Lepisosteus oculatus: one gene and its partner. The protein of the gene in region 2 purifies or fractionates together with the protein of the main gene of each other region. This does not show direct contact. Links are inferred from orthologs where the notes say so. Each region holds a gene or a part of one and is shown on either strand. Other genes may lie near its edges.

Region 1 (7,917 bases), on a different chromosome or scaffold from region 2:
TGTGATTAACTACACTGTTAACCCCAGACTGCAGCGCACTGTGGTGTGATTAACTACACTGTTAGCCCCCGGACTGCAGCGCACTGTGGTGTGATTAACTACACTGTTAGCCCCCGGACTGCAGCGCACTGTGGTGTGATTAACTACACTGTTAACCCCAGACTGCAGCACACTGTGGTGTGATTAACTACACTGTTAACCCCAGACTGCAGCGCACTGTGGTGTGATTAACTACACTGTTAGCCCCCGGACTGCAGCGCACTGTGGTGTGATTAACTACACTGTTAGCCCCAGACTGCAGCGCACTGTGGTGTGCTTAACTACACTGTTAACCCCAGACTGCAGCGCACTGTGGTGTGATTAACTACACTGTTAACCCCCAGACTGCAGCGCACTGTGGTGTGATTAACTACACTGTTAGCCCCCAGACTGCAGCGCACTGTGGTGTGATTAACTACACTGTTAACCCCAGACTGCAGCGCACTGTGGTGTGATTAACTACACTGTTAACCCCCGGACTGCAGCACACTGTGGTGTGATTAACTACACTGTTAACCCCAGACTGCAGCGCACTGTGGTGTGATTAACTACACTGTTAACCCCAGACTGCAGCGCACTGTGGTGTGATTAACTACACTGTTAACCCCCGGACTGCAGCACACTGTGGTGTGCTTAACTACACTGTTAGCCCCCGGACTGCAGCGCACTGTGGTGTGATTAACTACACTGTTAACCCCAGACTGCAGCGCACTGTGGTGTGATTAACTACACTGTTAGCCCCCAGACTGCAGCGCACTGTGGTGTGATTAACTACACTGTTAGCCCCCAGACTGCAGCGCACTGTGGTGTGATTAACTACACTGTTAACCCCAGACTGCAGCGCACTGTGGTGTGATTAACTACACTGTTAGCCCCCGGACTGCAGCACACTGTGGTGTGATTAACTACACTGTTAACCCCAGACTGCAGCGCACTGTGGTGTGATTAACTACACTGTTAGCCCCCGGACTGCAGCGCACTGTGGTGTGATTAACTACACTGTTAACCCCAGACTGCAGCGCACTGTGGTGTGATTAACTACACTGTTAACCCCAGACTGCAGCGCACTGTGGTGTGATTAACTACACTGTTAACCCCAGACTGCAGCGCACTGTGGTGTGATTAACTACACTGTTAACCCCCGGACTGCAGCACACTGTGGTGTGATTAACTACACTGTTAACCCCCGGACTGCAGCGCACTGTGGTGTGATTAACTACACTGTTAGCCCCCAGACTGGAGCGCACTGCTGGATGCCAGGAGTCTGATTAACAACACTGTAAAACCCGGAGTGGATCAGTCTGCCACCGACGGGGTGTCCGACTGCTTGCACAGGTACAGTAAGCACGTCCCCCCCACCAGCAGCTACTCACCCCTGCGCCAGCCCTCCGCGGGCTCCAAACCGGCCCCCCCGGCCCCGCCCCCTGTCGCCTCTGGAGAGAGAGAGAGAGAGATGTTAGATGCTTCCATCACTGGATTGGAGAGACACCCAGCCAGCCGCCTCCACCAGGCCAGTCGGGACCAGAGCAGCGAGGCCACCCCTCTGCTCTCCGCGCAGAGAGACGCAAGCTCGAGTGAGCCCCACCGCGCCTGCAGAAGACCAGGTGCTCCAGTCACACGATCGGTCCACCTGGTTAATTCCATGACGGACTGTAGCACCTCCAGGACTCCGGGGTAACACCCCTACTCTTTTGGAGAAATGCCCTGGGATTTTTAATGACCACAGAGAGTCAGGACCTCGGTTTTACATCTCATCCGAAGGACAGCGCCTATTTACAGTATAGTGTCCCCGTCACTGTACCGGGCCATTAGGACCCACACAGACCGCAGGGTGAGCGCCCCCTGCTGGTCCCACTAACACCTCTTCCAGCTGCAGCCTCAGCTTTCCCAGGAGGTCTCCCCTCCAGAGATGGATGCTGAGCTCCGGTGGGCTGCCAGCAGGGTAACTGTGCGTGAACTGAAGTGAACAGTAGAGCTGCACAAGACCACGATAAAGATCCCGTGTCTTGAGGATGTAAGGGGTCGTTACAGAGTGGAGCCACAGGGCCCGCCCAGCCGCTGGGTATTTAGTAGCTAACTGACCCCCTGCAGCTTGTTCCACACACACACCCCCCTTTGTGTAAGGAAAGGCCACCTGTTCTGAATTTCTCTGTGGTCGCCAGTCGGTTCATTCACAGATCATCCTGCACGAGTCCCGCGGGCTCAGTGCCTCACAGGGCGATTCCAGACGGCCCTCCGACACTAGGTTCATGGATCTTTGACCTCAAGCCCCCCCCAGCACCCTGGCCGGTAGGATAAGCCACTAACCAGCCGGCACGCAGAGACTGGGACCCCCGATGCCGGACAGCCGCACGGTGTTGGAGGCAGGAACGTGCCTTGGCACTCGTCGGGCATACAGACCCTCGGTTCGCCCGCACCTCGGCGGCCAGGTCACGAAGCACACACCGGCCTCGGTGCACTGCCGGTCGGCGCCGTGTGGAAACCGGCACGGTGGGTAACAAAGAGCAGGCCCCAGACCGGCCGCTCGATTACAGCCATTCATTCATCCAGCGCCCGGCACAACACCCTCTTCCGAGAGCTTTTGTTTTAAAAAAAACGCCATTTTCCTTTTACACATCTTGTCACTAAACGCCAGGAAATGGAATTCGAAGGGGACGCAGTTTCAACTTGGGTTTTAGCGATAACATGCAGAGCCCACGCACGCGCGCACACACCCCCGATCCGACACGGGTACGCTAGCTAACTCGAGACCCGAGGCCTGATATGAGGCCTACTTGAGAAGCCGGATTTCAGTTCTGCCAGGACACACCGCGTTGTCAGATTGCGCACAGAAAAAAACAGTTTTCCCTTCCATCTCCTTTGAATTACTGTACCTCATTGCGTACGACGTCTTGACAACTTGAGGGAAGCCACAAAGAGAAATCTTCGGCCGCCGACCTGTCCGCTGGCGTTGCTTCACTACCCAGGGAAACAGCGTCTCCGAACGAGATCGACAACCCAGGGAACCAATCACAGGCGCCAAACGCTTTTCAACAGCAAGAGGCGATTGGTGAGGTGGGGTAGGGGGCGGGGCTCGCAGGCAAACATCCCACATGATTGGTTCTCGTCTAATAGTCTCTGATGCACTTTCGAATGATGACCACTAGAGCGCAGCACTGCAGAACACACTCGGACAATAACAAAGCGAGTGACTTTTCACCAGTGCAAGCGTCTAGCAGAGTGGCGCAGCGGAAGCGTGCTGGGCCCATAACCCAGAGGTCGATGGATCGAAACCATCCTCTGCTAACCATTTTCATTTTTCAGATGAGCCACGTATTAATCTCATTTTACAGCATAGAAACAACACGTAATATAAAAAGCAGTCATGCACACACCTGAAATACTTTTCACACAGGTAAAAGTGTTCCTCTGTATGTTAATGTTGTGTGAAACCTGTCGTAGAAACATCTGGATTAGGCTGAGGTACATCCCTGGTCAAATTTCCCATTGGCCCTTACCAATCATGGCCTCCTAATAATCCCCCTCTCTGAACTGGCTCCATCGCTCTGCTCTCCTCCCCACTGAGAGCTGCTGTGTGGGGAGTGTTCTGGCGCGCTATGGCTGCCATCGCATCATCCAGGTGGGGCTGCACATTGGTGGTGTTGGAGGGGATCCCCATTACCTGTAAAGCGCTTTGAGTGGAGTGTCCAGAAAAGCGCTATATAAGTGTAAGCAATTATTATTATTATTATTATTATTATTATTATTATTATTATTATTATTATTATTATTATTATTATTATTATCCCGGTGGGGCTACTAACTGGTGCTGGTGGAGGGGAGTCCCCATGACCTGTGAAGCACTTTGAGCGGACTGAGAAAGGCGCCATATACGTGTAAGGATTTATTATTATTGTTGTTGTTGTCGTGTGGAAGTTCAAGTAGGGAGCTGTGTCATCAATCGTAGGCTTCTAAGGAACCAGCAAAGGTTTATTCCATGCTGAAAAGAGAAGAAAAGGAAACGTTTCGGCTGTGGAGCCTTATTATCTTCTTCTTAACATTATAATTATGTGGTATTATACGGTACGGCACCAGAGGAATCACGATGGCGAGACTCGGTAAATAAGTGCAATAAAGGAATGCAAATAATAACAATAATAATAATAATAATAATTGCTTACACTTATATAGCGCTTTTCTGGACACCTACCTCTCTTTTATTTTTCTTTGTTATTTTTCCTTGTGATTTTACTGCTGTTCTGAACGTCTTATCAGCGCTCTTGTTCCCCTCGTTGATGTAATTTTAATGAACAATCACGATTAGAATTAATGGTTAGCTACAAAACGCGCTTCACGGCGAATAGAGACATTCGCCCTGCTGGCCACACGGGGGCGCTGTGGGGGAGCCCTTCCGGGTCACTCGCTCAGACTCTCGGCGAGGGAGGCGTTTGTGTTTTTATTATTTTTAGTTGTGGAAGATTTTAAACGACTTTATTTTAGTTTTTTTTTTTCCTCCGGGGAGCAGTCTCGTTTCCCGCTCGCTGTAGAGGGGGAAATGAGCGAGTCCAGTCTGCGCTGGGACACGGGGTGGGTGAAGACTGGCTGTTTCAGGACTGATCTCTTCCCACCTGCTTGTCTTTCTCCTGCTGTGATCCTCACTATAGCAGCATCCTTCTCTGTGTCTCTGTCGGTCCACTCCTGTCTCTCTCCCTGTGTCTCTGTCAGTCCACTCCTCTCTCTCTTTCTCCCTGTGTCTCTGTCTGTCCACTCCTCTCTCTCTCTCCCTGTGTCTCTGTCCACTCCTCTCTCTCCCTGTGTCTCTGTCGATCCACTCCTGTCTCCATGTGTCTCTGTCTGTCCACTCCTCTTTCTCTCTCTCTCTCCCCCCCTGTGTCTCTGTTGGTCCACTCCTCTTTCTCTCTCTCCCCCCCCCCGTGTCTCTGTTGGTCCACTCCTCTCTCCCCCCCCCCCGTGTCTCTGTCTGTCCACTCCTCTCTCTCTCCCTCCCTGTGTCTCTGTCTGTCCACTCCTCTCTCTCTCTGTCTCTGTCTGGTTCTTGACAGCTCTTGCTCTGCGCAGGTGCTGTGACTCTGGGTGACGGTTCTGTGGGGGTCTTCTCCAGAGCCCCGCCCTGGAGAGGGATGTCTGCGTCCGAGGGGGACGTCGGGGGCCGCGTGTGTGCGTTCCTGCGGACAGGGGCGCAGGGAGGCGAGAGGGGCCACGCGGCTGGGGAGATCGCGGCGGCCCTCGGGGGCCCCCCGGTCGGGGATGTCAACCGAGCGCTGTACGAGCTGGAGAGGGGCGGCGCGGTCCGCCGGACCAGGACAGAGCCGCCGCTGTGGAGCCTGGCGGGCTCGGAACCGGAGCCACGCGCGACCACCGGGGCGTCCCCTGAACCCGGGCCCCCGGACCCTCAGAGCGTCCTGAAGGTCCTCCTGTCGGCGGGCCCCGGCGGGGGGCTGCCCGCGCACCGGATCGCCCGCGAGCTCGGCGTCTCGCGGAAGTCGGCAAACCAGCAGCTGTACTCGCTGCTGCGCGGGGGCCAGGTGGACAAGACGGAGGGGCCCCCCGTGCTGTGGAGGCTGCCCAGCCAGACACAGGGCGAGGGGGCAGAGGGGCCGCGCACCGCCGCCCCCTGCAGGCCGGGCGTGCACACTGCGGCCACGAACGGGAGGGACAGGTATGTAGACGGGGGCAGCCGGCATGAGGCCCTGAGCGCTGACTGGCTGAACTAGCGGAGAGACTGGGGGCAGACTGCTGCCATGGTTACGTGGGCGTGAGCCGTCGCTGCCGAGGCGATGGGCGGGGCTGTGGGTGTGCCAGGCAGAGAGAGGGAGAGCGGTCCTGTGTCTCTGCTCAGCACTCTCGTCTTCCTCCTCTCTCTCCTCACTCCTCCCCCCTGCCTCTCCCTCTCCTCACCCCTCCTCCCTCCCTCTCTCTCCTCACCCCTCCTCCCTCCCTCTATCCTCTCTCACTTTCCCCCTCCCTCCTCCTCACTGCCTCTCTCTCCTCACCCCTCCTCCCTCCGTCTCTCCCTCTCTCCCCCCACCCCTCCTCCCTCTCTCTCCCCACCCCTCCTCTCCTCCTCCCTCCCTCTCTCCCCCCACCCCTCCTCTCTCCCTCTCTCTCCTCACCCCTCCTCCCTCCCTCCCTCTCTCTCCCTCCCCCTCCCTCCTCCTCCTCACTGCCTCTCCCTCCTCTCTCTCCTCACCCCTCCTCCCTCCCTCTCTCTCCCTCCCCCTCCCTCCTCCTCCTCACTGCCTCTCCCTCCTCTCTCTCCTCACCCCTCCTCCCTCCCTCTCTCCCTCTCTCTCCTCCTCCCTCCCTCTCCTCCTCCCTCTCTCTCCCTCCCCACCCCTCCTCCCCCTCTCTCCCTGTCTGCCTCTTTCCCAGTGGCCCTGTGCCCCGGCCTCAGCCAGCTGGCCCGGGGGAGGCCCACGCTCTGGCAGCCAGCTTCCAGCACCTGGCCCTGGGGGAGGGGACCCGCCGCGAGCCCCAGGACGTGCTGGGGGTGCTGGAGGGCCTTCCGTCGGGGACCACTGCCCCGGCTGCGCTCATCGCCCGGAAACTGGGGGTCCCCAAAAAAACAGCCAATCAGCACCTGTACAGACTGCTGCGAGAGGGCCGTGTCCGAATGGAGCAAGGGACACCCCCAAAATGGGGTGTTCCATGAGGGGCACCTAGCTGTTGTGCTTCAAAGGGAAGAGGAATAGAAGATGAATATAAAGATCGTTGCGTTGATGTACAGAACAGGTAGAAGGCCGAGTGGTCAGTTATCATGTCATTTTCTGTTTCTGGAATTAAAACCATTCAGCTTTTTGTTTCATTTTTGACCTGTAGTGGAGAACATGGTGCCTGTGCACTGAACTGACTGCAGGCAATAAACTTCTCCAAACAGAACTGGGCTGGAAATTGTGACTGTACTGCCTGACACTCACACTGTCACACTGACACACACACTGACACACTGACACACTCACACTGTCACAATGACACACACACTGACACACTGACGCACACACACTGACACACTCACACTGCCTGACGCACTGACACGCTGACACACTCACTGCCGAGCACTCACACTCACACACACTGGCCCTGCACATCGAGGCTGCCCCCAGATGTCTGAGCCTACACCCCCCTTCACAGGCTTCTACCCCTCCTCTCCCCTCAACCAATCCGTCGCCTGTTTTCGACGTCATCGCGCCGCTCTTCCTGTTTTCCGACGGCGAGGCGGTGGAGCCCACAACACTCTGCGGAGCCTGAGCTGCACTGCCAAACCCCTTAATCCATCTGCAGGTAGGGAGCGCCTTTCTCGTTCGCCCCGGGTGGGTGTTCGCGGAGACACGCGTGGCTGGTGTCGGGGAGTCGGGCCGGGGACGGCGGCGAGCCCAGTTGGTCTGCGCCGGGAGATGTGGCCCCCAGCCGCTCACGACCCGCCTGTGGTATCGCGACATGACGTTCGGGGTGCGTGGAGTGAAGGCTGGCGAGAGTGGGCTGGAGGCGGAAGAGGCAGGGGTCCCGGGTCGCGCTGAGGGGGGGGGTCGGTCGGAGCCGATACTGGCTGTGCATCTGTGCGTGTGAGAATTAGAGGCATCGGGGGGCGTGTGATCGCGAGTCGGAGCTCTGCAGGCGCTAGGGCCGGTCCTGCCGGTGTCGCTGGATGTCGGGACATCAGTGGTTCAGCATGCACAGTAGTTTCAGCGCGCTGCTGGCGCTGCACAGGGTGGTATCGTTGCGGGGTGGTCTGGCACGGCTTGGCCCAGGACGGTATTGTACCGGCTCGGGCTGTGCAGAGCGGGCTGCAGGCGAGCACACTTCTCCTGTCCCGCAGAGCTGTCTCTGGGGACCGCAGGAGAAGGACGCCGGTGCGTCTCCCGGACGTGTTCGTCCTTG
Region 2 (7,230 bases):
GTGTTGGACAGGGGGCTCCCAGCAGGGCTCTGGACCTGAACTTGGGCCATACTGACGTCCGGTTCCAAGACTTTCACAGCACGCAGCACAGGGGTTCAGCGCAAGTTTGGAGTAATCCAGCAAAGCTCTTCCTGGGAAAAATAATTCAAAAGCTTGTGTACTGTGGGATGCTTACTCAGATAAGATTATATCCAAAAACGATAGCCATATGGTACGGGGGACATCTTGCTCTTTTTTGAGGTTAGGTAATGTTTGGGTTTTAAAAATGAATCCAGTCTAATTCTTTTTAAAGAAATGTAGTTAGCAGAACTAGAAACTAAACTGGTCGACAGCACAGAGTAAACACATCATACATACAAACAGGGTTTAATTACATCTAAAGTCGCCTTTACATATCACACATGCAAGTGACTAATTTGTAAGCTTTTTAGACTATACTGCAAAACAAAACAGCAAAGTCCTTCTTTGTGAGCTGAGATGTAAAACAGAGGTCTTGACTACCTACCCATGGTCATTAAAAATCCCTGGGGAGTTTCTCAAAAAGAGTAGGGGGTTTTACCCTGGTGTCCTGGACAAATTTCCCCTTGGCCTTTACCAGTCATGGCCTAATAACCCCCATCTAAGAACTGGCTTCATCACTCTGTTCTCCTCCCCACTGATAGCTGGTGTGTGGGGAGTGTACTGGCGCACTATGGCTGACATCACATCATCTAGGTGGGGGCTGCACATTAGTGGTGGTGGAGGGGAGTCCCCATTACCTGTGAAACGCTTTCAGTGGAGAGTCCAGAAAAGTGCTATATACATTTGAAGATTATTTATCTTTTTATCTTAAAACTATCTTAAATGTTAACTAATGAGCAGCATCATCTTGCTTTGCAATTCCATTTTATGTCTGAATGTTACAGTATGAATTCTAAAACATTAACATGCTTTTCTGGTAAGTTTTAATAACCTGTCAGGCACAAAGCCAAAAGTATTGAGCATACTTCAATAAGAACTACCTCTTGATTGAGAATCATATGCTTGAAATAAAAAGGTAAGGCAAGTTAGAGGCAAAAACTATTTTAAAGAGATCAAAATCACATCACAGCCCCACTTATTTATATATTTAAGTCACAACTCTAGTCTATCAAAAGTGCGTTTGACTTCTTGAAGCTCTGAGGTGTCTTAACATGAAAGGCACTATATAAAATAAAATTGTTCCTGTTATTAAAAAGATTGTTACTGTGGACTACCAAAACAATTTTTTGGCCAAAGCCTTAATGAATGGCAGGAACATCAAGACAGACCCAGTGCACTGCACAAGCGATTTCTGTGTATTCCTGGATGTGTCACATACATAACTTTAGCAGATCTCAATTAAACCAGGACACACAACCCCTGTGGCTGAAATGGTAGGTCTTTCTCTCTGCAAGTGTCTCCCTTGTATGAACAGTGTTTCCTCTTAAACAGCTAAATTACTGTGTTTATAATGCCAAGAATCATTATAAGCTGATATTTATCTTTGGGATTTCCCACAATCGTGACCACTAATAATTACAGCTCCGATGAACATACAGTGTTGTTTTGAGGTGTTTTCAAAAACAAAAACTGCGAAAACTAAATACCAGCCCTATTCAATCTGTGTTAAGACTAATCCATCCATCACGTCAAATTTTAATGAATGCGGGGATGGTAAACCTAGAGACTTTGCTCAATACCAAAAGACTTAAAATTATCCAGATGTAAAATGTTCATTTTAACTTTAAAATTAGGAGGGAGGCGCGTACAAACGAACTCCAAATAAGATTTCTCCAAGTAGACAGACGACCCCCTGCACTCTCCAAACATATTATTTTCGACGACTACGCATACCAGAAGATGCACGCTAACCTGTTTGCTTTCACGGTGGACAACAGCTTAATTCACGACACGGAAGGCGTCTAAAATTGACCAGACCAATTTAAAACCGTAAGTGTTCTCTCCCAAATCGTAAGGGTCTGGTCTGAGGCCTACTATCCTTCACCTAAGCCTGGACACACCGAAAGTGCTGAACAATGGACATTTAAAAATAAAGACAGACAATCGTCCGATTCTCTTGAAGTGCAATCACGGCATGTTCAAGAAAATCGTGACCTGCTCGTTAGCATTCGTAACCTCTCCCGACACTACTGTAGCTACCAGCAAACATACCGTGCACTGCGAAAACAAGAGTTGTGGTGGCCTTTAATTTGTTATTTTGTTGAAATCACGTCGCCAAAATATTTCGAAAGCTCAAGTACTCCAAAGCAAAGAAAACATGGTTTGAGAGAACTGCAACATTAGCATTTTTTTTTCCAAAGCGGCAAATGCAAATGACGTTACTTCTGGGTGAGATTTAACGACACCTTAATACCCCCGAAATATTATCTGGCTACTTCAGTGCCAGCAAAGTGACACGACAGGGGGACGAGTATAGCATATTCTTATAAAGAAATATACCTGTTTCTAAGAAAAAACTTCATTCATGGTGTATTGTTACAAAACGGAACCTAACAATGCTGTAAAAATGCACATAAACATAAAAACCCACTAATAAAGTATATTTAACCGCATCGACCACGTTTCTGGATACCACATTTAAATGCGCAACTATTTCTCTGTAGTACTCAATGCGATTGTAAAACAAAACAAGAATAACAACACCGTCCAGATCGTTGAATGTTATTGTTTGGTTTACAAAGCTACTGACCTCTACCAGAAACGAGCATATTAATCCCCACCTGGATTTTAAAAATAATGTGTTGATTTGGGAAAGAATGTTTCGTCGAATAAAACTTTACGCTTTCCGTGCGTTTCAATTGAAGGTAAAAGGTAGCACAAGACAGTGGAGCAGAGCACACAATGTGATTGCAAATCAAAAATTTAAAAAAGCTTGCAAGATCTCACCTCTTTTTATGTTTCAGTCCAGCAGTTAAGGATTTCTTTACTCCATGAGCTACGGTATGTGAGATTTATATTTGATCTGTTCCACTTTTATGGATTTTTCTTCTATTTTTTTATTAAAATGTTAGTGTTATGGTGAGAAAAAGGCAAACAGGGCAAACACTAAAGAGAATGGCCCAGCCTCGGTTTCCCATTCCGGAAGTGACCTCAGCCGGCTCGCAGGAAGTGCCCCGGTCTGGAGAGATCGAGAAGGAATAACGAGCTGCAAAAAATGCGAGCCATATCATGAATAACTTGTGTACGTTACTGTAAGACTGCAAAACACAGGCTGTTCATAATTTTAATAAACGATGTTATACATCATTTAACGCCGGTTCTCTTCCTTACTTATTAACATGCTACATTTTTATTGGACGATAGGGGGCGTGAAAACACCCTCTTGACTGGAATACCTCAAGACCGAAAACAACTTGTGACTTCATGAATTGCAGCTTCGATACTGTGAAATATTGATAATGGTATCACAAAGCACCGTAAACTATCGAAGAGACCTGGGTTGGAGGGTTAATTGGAACTAACTGCTGGAGATGTTCAATTAGTATTTTCAAGGGTATGGTGCTATCATTCCCAGCCCCGTCCAGAGCTTTCATCAGCATGGTACTCAGGCATGTATTATTCCAGCATTAGAGTATTATAATATAATGAGGAAACATCTAAAATGCTGGGGCCTTCATCTTTTAGTTTATATATGGTGTCCCTTAGATCATTTGTCATAATGGTCATAGGTTTCATTGCAATGGTAATTGAAGATATATTCCAGATCAAATTGGATGCTACTGCTGCTGTTATTGTGCTTTATAGGTGTTTGATGGTAACATATGGAAGCAGCTGAACTTTCTTTAGCAAAACTGCGACTAGGCTGAAATTCTAGGCTCCCAACATCAACAGCATAGAACAGACGACTTCCATGTTATTGTGAATGGTGCTGAAATCCAAACTCTGATGGAAGACAGAAAACTTGCTTCCGAATCCGTGTTGTCATTAGAAGTGCATGTTAGGAACATCACAAGTCACTTCCTTCTGCCTGCAGAACACCGCTCACTCTAGAACCAGTGCTTGGCCTGTCTGATACTATATAAACATGATGCATACCAATATTAGACCAATAGAATCTTATATGATAGTAAATGGGCTAAAATGTCAGGAATTCTAAGACTTGTGCTAACTAAATGTATTCTGCATCAGCACTTACCTTCGGTCTTGTATAATTTTTAATAGGCTCCCAGTGATATATAGGGTGGACTACTCTAGCAGGTACTACTGGTCATGTGTGAGGCCTGGAAATGTCTAGGTCCAAATGATGTTAGATATATTGGTTAAGTAGAGGGTTGGTACGGTAGTCAGAATTGCTACCTTGCAGCTCTGGGGCTCTGGGTTCATATTCAGACTTTCAGTGCCATCAGCATGGAGTTTTTATCATCTCCTCACTTTCATCTAGGTTTTTGGCCTTGCACTACAGCTTTGCATTGGTTTAATTGACCCTGCTGCGGGAGTCCATCTTGTGTGTGCCCTGTGATGGACTGGTGTCCAGTCCAACTCATAACCTGAGATCTTTCGATCACAGAATCTCACAACGGATGGCAAAGCCTTCTTGTATGCTCCCCATCTACACTGGAACGCGCTGCCAAAATTCATTACATTCAATTACATTGTACAGTGCTTCAGAATTTCTTAAAGTTCATAAAAGTATACACAGATTTTCTGAACTGTATTTGTAGTAAAAGGAATGATCAGCATTGATTTCCTTAAAGAAGCAAGTTAGCAATGGATTGATGTACTGTTGGATACAATCTTGCTCAATCCTTCTTATGGAGCTCGATGATACCACGCTCATTTACAGCCATGGACTGAAAAATTATGGGTAGAAAACTGTGCCAACGGCCCTCAAATAGAATGGGACAAGCATTGTGGGAAGGGTGTGGTTACCAGTTCCACCTCTGTCACTCAGAACTGGACAGGGGCTGTGGATCCAATTTATCCTGGTATTTCCTAGACATAAAGAACCTTAAATCTAACAATGTTAGAGATAACAGCAGTGCATCATTTTGATGCTGTAGTTGCACAAGCCCATTCTCAAAAAGCCACAATCCAACAGGTGTTAAAGGGCACTCTTAAACTCTCATTTCTGAAGGCTAGAAAAATGGAACCAAGCCAATTCACTGGTACACTTCAGAAAACCCCAAATCACTTGAGTGATAGTTACTTGAGATTTTCATAAGTGAATGTTCCAAGTGTTTTAATCCAACATGTTTTTAATCATCCTGTTTTTCATTACACTTTGTTAAATGTTGGTAGGAATAACTTAGTTCAGTCTTTCAAAATATGCAATGTCATACTTCAAAATTTGCATTAATGTTGGCATCCATTTGAGAAGACAAATCCATAAGTCAACAATCTATATCCTTGTAATTTTTAGGTGATCAATCCTTTAACTACACCAACTGTTTAAAGAACTCTGCATGTAGATTACACATTTTTGTATCAAGGCAATATAGTCATTTTGAAGAAATCTTAAATGTAACCAAATGATTATAAACTTAGCATTTCATCCACCTTTGATTACCTTCAAGGTCCTGGACTGTAGTACATGTACTGTAGGTTCACAAGTACACAAAAACTGAATATACACAAGTGCTTTTTATTTATTCACATTTGGAACATGAGAAACTAAAGAGACAAGACATAAATAAAGACATACAAGATACAAATGGTTTAGAAGAATGGTGGAAGCATAAAAAAAATGCTGCTGTCAAAGAGCTCTCAGAAAACTCTGATCTACAGTAAAACTGCAAAAGAAGATTTGAAATGAACACAGTCCTCTCGTGGATTTGCAGGATGGGAACAAGGGTGTTGCACGGCCAGAAGACAACTGCGATCTGTTTGAACTCATAGCTCATACACAGGATTAACATGTTTCTCTATTCCTTTGCAAACTGATAAGATTTCATGTAGTTATACATGAAAAGGTATTCTGACTAGCATTTGAAGAAATCCCCCTTGAAAAAAGTTCCTACAAAGCTTTTCTAGCATGTAACAGAAGGTTAGTGAAAACTCAACTGCCTACCTTCTTTTACACAAAGAAAATGATACTAGTAACAGAAAATGCTTTTACAACAGTCCAAAGAAACTTATATGCGAGAGCTGTCCCAATGAGGTCTGTAAAACTTCACTGTATGAGTTTCTAGATCACAACATTTGCAACTTTTACCTTAAAGACAATTCATGATATTTTTGGAAATACCAAATTAAAATCCTTAAAAGTTTCTGTCAAAGATCAATATCTGGTGAGAGAATAAAGGAGTTTGGTTCACAAAGTTTGCTGATGATTCCTGCGACCTTCTGTAATTCTCATCCTGGCCTTATTGTCCTCAGCAGGTTTTCAATGATTTGATTTCAGGGTCCTAAGTCTTACACGAGCTGGACACTTGCTGCTTGGAGATAGCCTTGCAAGAACTGTAGTGCTTCAGCATTCAGGCTTGTGCTCAGCATAGAGGGAACCTAGAAAAACATTAATAATCACATTCTTCTTTCAAAGAGAACGAAAAAATAAAACGTGTAAGTTTTATACACCTGAACTGGATTATGAAATATACTTGGAAACCCTTCTGGAAAAAAAAGACTTCAATTTGTTTACATTAAATATGCACAGAACTCCCTCATATACTCTATTTACTTTATGTTAAATAAGGCAAGTCTTATTTTAATAAGTATTAAATAGCCCTTTTGACAAAGAGGTTTTAATGAGCACTACACATTTAACAGTGGACTGCCATGAAACCCTGACAAAAAATAACCTAGCTTTAAAGCAATCAAACTATTTAAAGTTGTTAGCTTCTTGAATTCTTAGTCACAACCTACGTTTGAAATAAACAGCTTCAATACAATAAGAAAAAACTTCAAAGAAGTTATAAAAAAACTTATTAAATGGGGGAAAAAAAAAGTGTGGAACAAACTTGCCTTTGCAAAGAGAGCTTCGTGCCATAAAGGAACACCCAGTGTGAAATGCTCAGTTGACTTTAAGGACGGGAAATTGATTAGTACACTGGGTTCATTGTGTCTGCCGGGAGCGCAAACATCCTGTCCCACATAGCTCTACATCAACTCCAACACAGACTTCTGCTACGTGTGGAAGCCAAGCTGTGGTCACTTACCCTTCCTGGGCACGCTGTGGACAGCTTGTGGAGAGACTGTGCAAGGTGGATTTTGGGATTGCTGACGGCATCTCCGATGGGGTCATGCTCTTTCTTCCCTGCGAAAGCCAGCTGG

The links.
Region 1: the proteins of stau1 (region 2) and ilf2 purify together in Homo sapiens (affinity purification with mass spectrometry; 3 studies listed by BioGRID). This does not show direct contact. The link is inferred for Lepisosteus oculatus from reciprocal best matches to the Homo sapiens genes STAU1 and ILF2.

What each region holds. Positions count from the first base shown.
Region 1 is NC_090722.1:6,551,771-6,559,687, forward strand, and holds the start of ilf2 (interleukin enhancer-binding factor 2 homolog), read right to left. Parts: upstream 3,032-7,917; 5' UTR 2,918-3,031; coding exon 2,913-2,917; intron 1,473-2,912; coding exon 1,413-1,472; intron 1-1,412. Other genes in the region: uncharacterized protein, read left to right, coding at 5,160-5,698, 6,412-6,691; adar (double-stranded RNA-specific adenosine deaminase), read left to right, coding at 7,143-7,320. UniProt on the Homo sapiens protein: Chromatin-interacting protein that forms a stable heterodimer with interleukin enhancer-binding factor 3/ILF3 and plays a role in several biological processes including transcription, innate immunity or cell growth.
Region 2 is NC_090711.1:9,426,974-9,434,203, forward strand, and holds the start of stau1 (double-stranded RNA-binding protein Staufen homolog 1), read right to left. Parts: upstream 3,106-7,230; 5' UTR 2,908-3,105; intron 132-2,907; 5' UTR 51-131; coding exon 1-50. Other genes in the region: cse1l (exportin-2), read right to left, coding at 6,373-6,462, 7,116-7,230. UniProt on the Homo sapiens protein: Binds double-stranded RNA (regardless of the sequence) and tubulin.